Linked DNA regions of Schizosaccharomyces pombe. The gene in region 2 interacts genetically with the main gene of each other region. Each region holds a gene or a part of one and is shown on either strand. Other genes may lie near its edges. The genes, in order: sec28 and nup131.

Region 1 (3,653 bases), 1.4 Mb from region 2:
GTTGGGGTTAAGCAAATGTTGGCATATATAGTTGTAATCTGTCATGGTGCCACTGCCGTTTGAGCAAGTTCATCTTCGATTCTTAAAGTCTTATCGTTTAATATCGGTTTTCTTGCTTTTTCCAAATTCCAAACACCTGTGTATTTCAAAACATCTTTCTTTTCTATTTGTAAAGGCAAACTTGTTGCTTGTCATTTTGTGGCACTGCAGGTTTTGAGTAATTTTGGACAAGAACCACCTATTCTAGATTTTTAAAAACAAATATATAGGTGGATAGTCATAATAGTTCATTTTTAATTAATGAATGTATTTGATAAATAAAAGTAAACGGTTTAAAGACGCTCCTGTTGTGACGGCGTTCATTTAAATGTTTCATTTCGAGATATATTCGGGTGCGTTTTCTTGTTATTATGTCTACATGAGTCTTCTTCTGCATGCGGTTAAGTATTTCTAATTAATTAGTTTAATACCTTTACTTCTGGTAAACTTGAAATTTATCGAGGCAATACTGGATTGACTTGCTTTGCCAGACAGATCAACGAGCCATTACTTGAGTGAAGCAATAGTCAATGAATAAATACTAAAAATGCAAACATTTGAAGTTTATTAATGGATTGAAGATTCTAAACAATATTATTATTGGATTAAGCCGTACTCAAAAATTGAGTTGAAAAAGTATCAAATTCTTGCGCCTTTTCATTTAAATGATCGTTCAACTTCAGTGTAGAAGAATTTGTAAAAGATGAAAGTATATTCTTGGCTTGAGAAGGAGCATCAGGGCCTAAATCCGTGATTGCAGTAGTCATATTTGATAGTGCCTCCTCGTAATTTGGTTGAGAATCGAGGGCAGTTTTCAGCGAGCTCAAAGCCTCTTCAGGTCTCAACAAGCATATGTCTGCACACGCCATACCAGTTAAAGTCATTGGATTGCTATCAGTTCCGTTTAACTCTTCAAAAACATAAAATGCATCATTATAGGATTCGACGCCTCCACTAACTATTTTAATCCAAGATTGTGCCAGCTGTAGTACAATTTCTTCATCAGCCCAATCCAAAGCCTGTTTCAATGTCTGTTCAGCAGCTTCAATTTTGTGCTCTCGTAAATGAATGTATACTTGAAGCGCCACCGCCTCCAAGTTCTCTACTGACTTCTTTAATAAATCCATTGCATCATCAAAAGAACCATTTTTAATTTGAAAAATAGCTCCTAATGTTTGTACCACACTGTCTGAATTGCCATGCTGGTCAATAATTAACTCCATGTTCCCCTCCCCAGCCAGCGCCAGAATAGCAGCTGATCCAGGCGTTTTTTGAGTTAAAATACTTTGGATTGATTCTAAACTTTCACCTAAAGCTAATTTTGCCCTTGCCATATAAATTTCGGTCAATTCAAGACCTTTTTCAGACATGGATGTCGTGTCAATTTCAAATAACTTTGTATAGTTTCCACTATAAAAGTATTGACGAACAAAATACAGTTCTATCAAATATTAGTTGTTATTTAATTCCCAACTCATCTCTTACCATTAGATAAACTAGCCTCCCATGAAAACATGTTAAAAGTTTTAATTATGTTGGGCGATGTGTGGAGTAGAGAGTATGTGGGTTAATGGTGTTTGTACATGAGTAACCCTACAACAAAATGTAAAGCAAACGAACTTTCCATCAAGACTTGTAATTTTTCTAATTGCTCCGAAGCCTAATATAATATATTTCGCAGTCAGCAAGTAAAATGTTCGATAATTGAGATCCTTTTTCTACAGGTCGTTGTTGTATTCAAGAATCACCAGCAAACTACATTTTGGTCCACTGGCTTTTATATACAATGCAACAAATCTAGTGTTATAAATCAATACATGTTAACAAAGCGAACATTATAATTTATTAGAATAACAAATGGCGAGCTTTAAAAAAAAAGAAAAAAAAAAATTGTAAAACCTAGACTACCTTTGAAAGTTTGAGTTTAACTCAAGGTAACTAATCAATATATATATATATATATACTTCCTTTATTCCTCACATATTGTACTAAACCCAAAAAAAAAAAGGTTGTGGTCTTTTTTATGGCAGTATCAAAGTACAGAGTAAAACACTCTACAACTCCAATGTCTATCTAAATTCTAAAAATTAAATCCAAATCAAAAAGGCCAAAACAAACTTAAAAGTTGGAAGGGTATAAAACAGAGTCTGCATAAGCAAACGTATCTTTGATGGAGCGAGGAGAAACGAATCGAGACAGAATCATTCCGCTACCAGCTTTATCGTTAGTACCACTGGCACGAGCACCACCAAAAGGTTGTTCACCAACAACAGCACCAGTACACTTATCATTGATATAGAAGTTACCAGCGGCATTACGGAGACGGTCAGTCAACTTTCTGACAACAACACGGTCCTGAGCGAAGATGGATCCGGTTAAACCATAAGGAGTGGTAGTATCGATGAGATCGCAAACAGCGTCTAAGTTGTCATCCTCATATACATAAACAGACAGTACGGGGCCGAACAATTCGTTAACGAATATATCATGTTTAGGGTTTTTAGAAAGTAAAACGGTAGGTTCAACAAAGAAACCTTCGGAATCATCAGCTTTACCGCCAGCCAAAACTTCAATTTCAGAATCGGAAGCAGCACTCTCAAGAACCTTCTTCAGTTTGTTAAAGCTTGCTTGATGGATAACAGGGCCCACAAAATTAGCAAAATCAGTTAAAGGAGCACCGACCTTAAGAGACTTGACCTGTTTGGTAAGCTCATCACGGAAACCATTTTCCCAAGCATACTTAGAAACGTAAAGACGAGAAAGGGCAGAGCACTTTTGGCCTTGATATTCGAAAGCAGCACGAACAGCATTAACAACGGCACTCTTAATTTCAGCGGAAGAATGTACAAGATGAAAGTTCTTACCACCAGTCTCACCGACGATTTTGGGGTAAGTGCGGTATTTTCCGTTGGCAACATTCTCGCCAATTGTTCCCCAAAGGCTACGAAAGACGGCTGTGCTACCAGTAAAATGAAGACCAGCAAACTCAGGGTGGTTGAAACAAACCTTGGAGACTTCAACAGCGTCACCAGGGATAAATTGAAGTGCTCCAGCGGGAAGACCAGCTTCACGGAAGATTTGGTAAACAATGTAGCTAGAAAGGACTGCATGGTCAGAAGGCTTCATTAAAACGACGTTGCCCATGAGAAGGGGGGCAGCAGCCAAGTTACCAGCAATAGCTGTAAAGTTGAAAGGAGTAATGGCATAAACGAAACCTTCCAAAGGACGATATTCCATACGGTTCCAGACACCAGGAGTGTTTTCGGGAGGTTGGCTGGCATATAATTCACTAGCATACTTGGTATTGAAGCGAAGGAAGTCAATGATCTCCATTCCAGCGTCAATTTCAGCTTGCCAGATGTTCTTACCCTGGCCAATCATTGTAGCAGCCATGAGCTTGTAACGGTACTTGGTGCTTATCAAATGAGCAGCCTTCAAGAAAATGGCAGAACGGTCAGCAAAAGGTAAGGATTCCCAGACCTTCTTTCCACGAAGTGCTGCCTCAATGGCATCTTCAACGTGCTTGGCACCAGCACGGTGATAGCGAGCAACGACCTTTTTGTGCTCAAAAGGACAACGCTGCTCACCAATGGTATTCGTTTCAACTTCCTTA
Region 2 (6,314 bases):
TCTTTAGGTGCAGCAACGCTAGCACCTATGGCAGCTGGGAGACCAAATCCCATAGTACCGAGACCACCGGAGGTTACCAAAGAACTAGGTTTTGTCCAACGATAGAATGTAGCGGCCCACATTTGATGTGCACCGACACCGGTGGTAATAGTGACTTTGTCCTTTATGTCAGAAGTTTGTTTGTCAAGTTCTTGAATGACTTCTTGAGGCTTTACCAATTCACCAGGAGCGCTACGAGTGAAAGTGAAAGGGAAGCGTTCCTTCCATGTTTGAATTTGAGATAACCAGTCAAATCGGGAAGGAATTTTAATATTTTTAGTAGCAGAATCTAAAAGCTTTAGAGATTCGTATACATCGCCCTCTATTGCTTCAGTAGGTTGTACGACCTTACCGATATTTTTGGGTGAAATATCAAAGTGAATAATACCGCCACGCTCTTCGGCAGCAGCAAGACGTGCTTGAGGAGCAAACAAACTTACGTTACCGGTGACACGGTCGTCAAAGCGAACACCAAGAGCAAGGATAAGATCGGCTTCCTGCATGGCCATATTAGCGTATCCACTACCATGCATACCGAGCATATGCAAACTAAGGTCAGAACGTTCATCTACAGCACCAAGTCCAAGCAAAGAAGTAGTAACAGGAATTTGCAGCCTTTCGCTAAACTTGCGTAACAAAGTGGGGCATTCGGGATTAGCTAAAACACCATGCCCACAGAAAATCACAGGCTTCTTGGCTAATTTTAGTAAATTGGCAACACGATCGATCTTGGCAGTAACGTTCTTGGAGCCCTCTTCTAAGACTTCCTTCATTCTGCGATTCATTGATGGTACAGAAGACAGTATAGGAATGGGCTCCTTCAAAACGCTAGCAGTGACATCTTTGGGAAGGTCAACCAATACAGGGCCAGGGCGTCCAGAAGTAGCTATCTCAAAAGCTTCGTCTATACGACGGGGAAGATCAGCAACATCTTTGACCATTACATTCCATTTAGTACATGAACGAGAAATACCAACCATGTCAGCTTCTTGAAATGCATCACTACCAATTGCGCTGGTTGCTACTTGACCAGAGAATACAACTAGGGGAGTACCGTCGGCCAATGCATCAGCAATCGGGGTAATCACATTCGTAGCACCGGGTCCAGAAGTAACCAATACAACGCCGGGTTTTTTAGTAACGCGGGAATAAGCTTGGGCTGCATGTCCAGCAGCTTGCTCGTGTCTTGGCAAGATAAATTCAAAATGAGGAGATCTATAAATTGCATCGAAGACAGGCAAGATAGCACCACCTGGATAACCAAATACATGCTTAACATTATGCTTGAGCATCATATCATGGAAAATTTCACCCCCAGTCTTTCCAACAAACGAGCTGTCATATTTTATAGGACTAGCCGTAGTCACTGTAGAGGTGCTTTTGGTCGAATTTGCCCGAACGACACCGAATGCATTTTTTAATTTTTTAATTCTCAAATTATTACTAAAGCCGGTGCCATACCTCCGCACAGCTGAGCAACTATTTAAATTTAAAAATCTCTTTTGAAGGGCAATTTCTCGTCCATAAGACGAGAAAGCCGCCCTCGTATGCAATCTTCTAAGGGGAGCCAGCACAGTCATTATAAATAACTTTTAACCCTCAATTCCTTTCTAGAAAGAGCTATCTTTCAAGTTGCAAAAGATCGGTATGCTGAGCGGTATGAGAAGTGAGCAGGTTCATTTTTGCCTAAAAACATTGGTTGTTCACCACCACAAAAAAGATCAGATTTGTTAACGATAAGTACTGTACCCCGGAGATTAAATATACCGATGCATAATACTATACCCTTTGAAGTCGTGTTATTATTCTTTAAAAAGTTCAGATGATGTAGGAATACAATTTATCTATTTATCCATGTCTCCTTAATTTTTTAAACATTAGTAAATGCTGGAAAACGTCAAATAAATTTTTCTTGATCCTAAATTATAAGTTTCCTATCGATTCAGCTTAGAAAATCGTCAGAATTATCTTTGAGCATAATCTGTTTAACACGTAAGAGATCTTAGATACTTTCGCTTTTTTAAACATTAGTGAGCCTCTTATTAGAGGAATTGCAATGTTTATTGTACATCGACGGTTTTTTCAAAATGAAAAAGCTTTTACGCCTGCAGGAAAACATGAAAAAGTTGCCGACGGAAACAAACATGAGACATTAGCTACTTCAGAATACCCGAAAGTCTGTGCATCAAATGACTTGTACAAAATACTCCAAATATCTGCTCCTAAGGTTGGCAATTTTACAATCCATGATGCGCCAGTTGTTGGACTAATTGACTCTATTTTGGAATATTATTTGTATATTAGTGTCAAAGTTCGAAAGGCATGGATTGCTGGTTATGGAAGTCAGCCCCAAAACTTAATATGCTTTGATTGGGAACGTTTTACGGGTATTCTAGATCAGCAGAGTCTAAATAGCCCACCGTTAGCTGGATTTGTTAAGCCAGATCCAACATCAGCAGAGCCTGGCTTTTTACTTTTGTGGCCTGCTTCGGGCGACCTTTTCTACTGGGAAAGAACTTCTTTGATGAACGTTGAGGTTTCTGCTCCCGAATTTCCTGGTTTTCTTCATTACAGGATTCAACTAAAACGATATGAAAGCTGTAAAAATTTGGTTAGTGCTGAGCCTGCTGGCTTTTTCCTTACTCTGAGTTCAGGTCGGTTGCTTCATCTGAATTTAAAAGATAGCGATGGCAATTCCTCTATTCAGGTTCGAATCCTATTTCCTGGATTGCACATCCCCAACTGCTTGCTGTCGTTATACAACAGTATCTTTGCATTTACTTCAGGAAGAGTTATTCCAATACGTTGTGGTTCAATAAAAGGACCTGGTGAGAGATTAGTTTATTCTATGCATTCTGGAAGCACATTGCGAATTTGGGAAATATTCGGGACTGGTGATCACCACTTGTTACGTGGTTTTGACATTTATGATATAATTTTAGATAGTATTCAGGAATCCTTTTCCTACGTAAATCGATTTCTAATCCTTGATTTTTCTGTTTCAACCTCGGATCCTTATACGTTAGCTTGTTTGGTTTCCTGGCGTGATAATGCTTCATTATTCAATTATGCTGCAATCATTATTTCTTTCAACCATCAGATGATACCTCATGTTTCACAATTCTGCCATGTACGCTCATATCTTTCTGCAATTCTTCCATCAGTGTGTCGAATATTTTTACCAAGTCCAGGTACAGTTGTTTTTTGCGTCTTCGATGTCACTTTTGCTATGTTTCATAAAGTGCGAGGGAAAGAAGGCACTTTTTATGTCGAAGAAAACCTGGTTGTGAACAACCTAACTTCCAAATCTCGGGTTTTGGATTTTGGCATGGAAGATGCGATATATGAAAAATCTACGCACACCTTACTAAAAACTCCAGCATTGATCTTGTTAACAGAAGGGCATGGTATAATCCGAATTGAATCTTCTGCTAGCTACCTGAAAACCAGCTTTAGTGCAACCACCTATTTACGAAGTCGTCTCTCCCAGTTTGCATCGCAAAGCCCTTTGTTCCGTGTAAGTTGTTAATTCTTTCGTATCTAACATATAGGAACAATTTTTGTTAAATTTTGACTTTACATACAACCTCTCTGAAAGCGAAGTCTATAATACAGTCTTTAATCTTTGTGATGAACTTTATACGAGTAAGATAATTTTTTCATGATATATTACTAATTGCAATCAGCGCCATGTAAAAAAAATATGTCTGTATTAGAAACACTACATTCTCAGCAACGTGACTTGATGGAAATAGTTCTTGTTGCCTTCAAATACCTACATTTATCTCCTTCTAATAGACTTCAATTATGGCTAAAAGTTGCCTATTGCAGTGCTTTGGCAGACCTATATGAATTATTGATGTGTAATGAAAAAATGTCTAACTTGCTTCGACGAGTATTGAAAATAATGTCTTCAAATGATAATATTGATGAACTTTTTTTGAAAAAGTGCCTGAATATAAATTTGTTATTACAGCATTTAAGCTCGGAATATTCTCAAATATCTGGCCAAGATGCTAGCAACGCACAAAAAAGAATTGAAGTAATAGTAAATGTTAATAACGTTTATGGGGTATGTTTCTTATAAAATAACGAGGTTTACTAATATTAGACTATCTTTGGAAATGAGCTTGCTTATAGGCAAGAAAAAATATCAAAATTTACTGATCCATCCTCTGTGATTAGAAGCGACCTTTGGACAGTTGAAGTTGATCACTTAGATTTACTACGAAAACAGATCGAAGATTCGATATCATTGCATCGCGATGTACGTGACTCGAAAGATGCACACATATTAAAAGTCAGTAACAAGCTTCGGAAGCAGATTTTGCATCTGGTGGAACAAAATTGCCTTTTGATCTTTGATTTGCACAATGGAACAGATGATACCATAGTAAAATCGCATAATTTTCAAAAATTTGAAGAAGAATTTGGCAATTCACGAAAAGAATGGTTACAATATTTAGGTAAGCTGTTTCTCACTTTCTTGTTTCCGCTAACAAAGAAGCTTCTGTCGGATATTTGGAAAAGGCAATCGACTTGGCGGAAAAAGTTAAAGACTTTCAGACAATGGTAATTTTGCTGGATTGTCTAGATCCAAAGGATCCTACCATTAAGCTTCAAAAGCAAAAAGCATGCTTAAATAAATACAAAGAAGAATTCGCAGATGTAATTTTTTTTTATTTGGTTGATACAGAGCAGTATGCGTCTTTGCTTCATGATTTCTTGGAGTATCAATCACTTTTAATATCTTTTTTTGAAGCCAATGATTTATTGAATCTTTTGTGGATATTTGAAGCTCAAAATGGAAATTATGGACGAGCCTCCGAAATTCTTTTCCGTGATTGTGAACCAGAAGAAAACAGGATTATCGGTAAAATTTCGCAGTTAGCTCTAGCAAAGCTCTACTCATGGACTAATAGAATTGAAGGTGAAAATATCATATTGTCAAATGAGACTGAGGTGATTGAAAATCATTTAGCCATTTTGCTTATTCAAGAGCAATATGCTGAAATGCTTTCATCACTTGTGGATATTACAGAAGACGAGGGAGAAGCTGTCGAAGCAATAGTAACTTCCAATTGTGTAAATCTATCAGAAAACTCTATCAGAGCCTGGCTCGTGTCTAGTGCTGTTGAGCGATTAATTCAAAACGAATACACTACGCTTTGTGAGATGGTAGATTTCTTTTCTTCTTTTTCATTACGGGAATGTTCATTCAAAGAAGTTGATTTGGCCTTAGAGTTATTAGAAAGAGCTACAATCACTAAGGACGTGTATTTTTACTTAAAAGATCTCGTATATCGCCGTTTTCTATTACAGGTGAACTGGGCAGAAATCATCGATGCGCATGAAGATTTAGAATCTTCATTTTTTCCAATGGTAAAGGAAATTATGTTAGAATCAGACTTTTTAATATGGTTACAACATATGGAACACAATATTCACGACGAAAGTAAACATTACTTGAAATCGGAAAAAAATTTTTTGCAAAGTGTATATTCTTCACTTTCTGAGTCGCAAGTGGAAGATTATCAAATGGAGCTTTTTCGTGAAAAGCAAATTTTCTCAGTACTATGTAAAGATAGAGAGTTATACATTCTGATTCCGAAACTTCTGGACGTAGCAACAAAACAATGAAATGAAATTTTGCTATATATTACTTTACATTTCCTCAGTAATCGATAAACACCTGTTTAAACCTAGTACTACTTATGTTTGTATAATCTATCGTATAGCCTCAGCTCCGACAACTCCGTTTTTACGATGGTAGATGCTAGATAATCACTGGTTAGAATATTTACGGCTTAAAATAATTAAATTTTTTTATTATAGATTCTTGATTTATTATGATGATTGCGCCTTCGGGGCTTTTTCCCTGTCCTGGATAGCCTCACCCTTACGTTGGAAATTAAGCTAAGGCCTAGTGTGTTGCATCCAAGTACACCTTACAACTAACGTCCACTAAAACACTCAAACCACATAATCATTTGTTAGTCGAAAGAAAGCCTGTAACTTCTATTAAATTATAGTAATTGGTTTTCTAAATTTTGTTGTTTTTGGTCGGCTACTGAATCGCAATTGGACTTCAATCTCTGTGGTGAATGCAGTGAAAACAAACTGAGATTTGTGTGGCATTTGTTAGTGAGGCTACAAATTGACTACATAAAAACTGCATAGTCCTTGCAATAAAAAAAATTTTATCTGTTCGGTCAATTCCTTGTGACAGGGTTATTTATCATGAATTCCCAAACGAGCGTAGTAGGGGTTCACTA

Evidence for each region.
Region 1: mutations in nup131 (region 2) and sec28 together harm fitness less than expected from each alone (positive genetic interaction), as found in Schizosaccharomyces pombe (one large-scale study listed by BioGRID).

What each region holds. Positions count from the first base shown.
Region 1 is NC_003423.3:2,325,408-2,329,060, reverse strand, and holds sec28 (coatomer epsilon subunit protein), read right to left. Parts: upstream 1,588-3,653; 5' UTR 1,556-1,587; coding exon 1,525-1,555; exon of another isoform or gene 1,481-1,524; coding exon 645-1,480; 3' UTR 560-644; downstream 1-559. Other genes in the region: put2 (delta-1-pyrroline-5-carboxylate dehydrogenase), read right to left, coding at 2,159-3,653. UniProt on the Schizosaccharomyces pombe protein: The coatomer is a cytosolic protein complex that binds to dilysine motifs and reversibly associates with Golgi non-clathrin-coated vesicles, which further mediate biosynthetic protein transport from the ER, via the Golgi up to the trans Golgi network.
Region 2 is NC_003423.3:972,414-978,727, reverse strand, and holds nup131 (nucleoporin, WD repeat Nup131), read left to right. Parts: upstream 1-1,881; 5' UTR 1,882-2,095; coding exon 2,096-3,556; intron 3,557-3,590; coding exon 3,591-3,684; intron 3,685-3,725; coding exon 3,726-4,111; exon of another isoform or gene 4,112-4,150; coding exon 4,151-4,505; exon of another isoform or gene 4,506-4,546; coding exon 4,547-5,679; 3' UTR 5,680-5,706; downstream 5,707-6,314. Other genes in the region: ilv1 (acetolactate synthase catalytic subunit), read right to left, coding at 1-1,619; serine/threonine protein kinase (CK1 family) Cki2, read left to right, coding at 6,280-6,314. UniProt on the Schizosaccharomyces pombe protein: Functions as a component of the nuclear pore complex (NPC).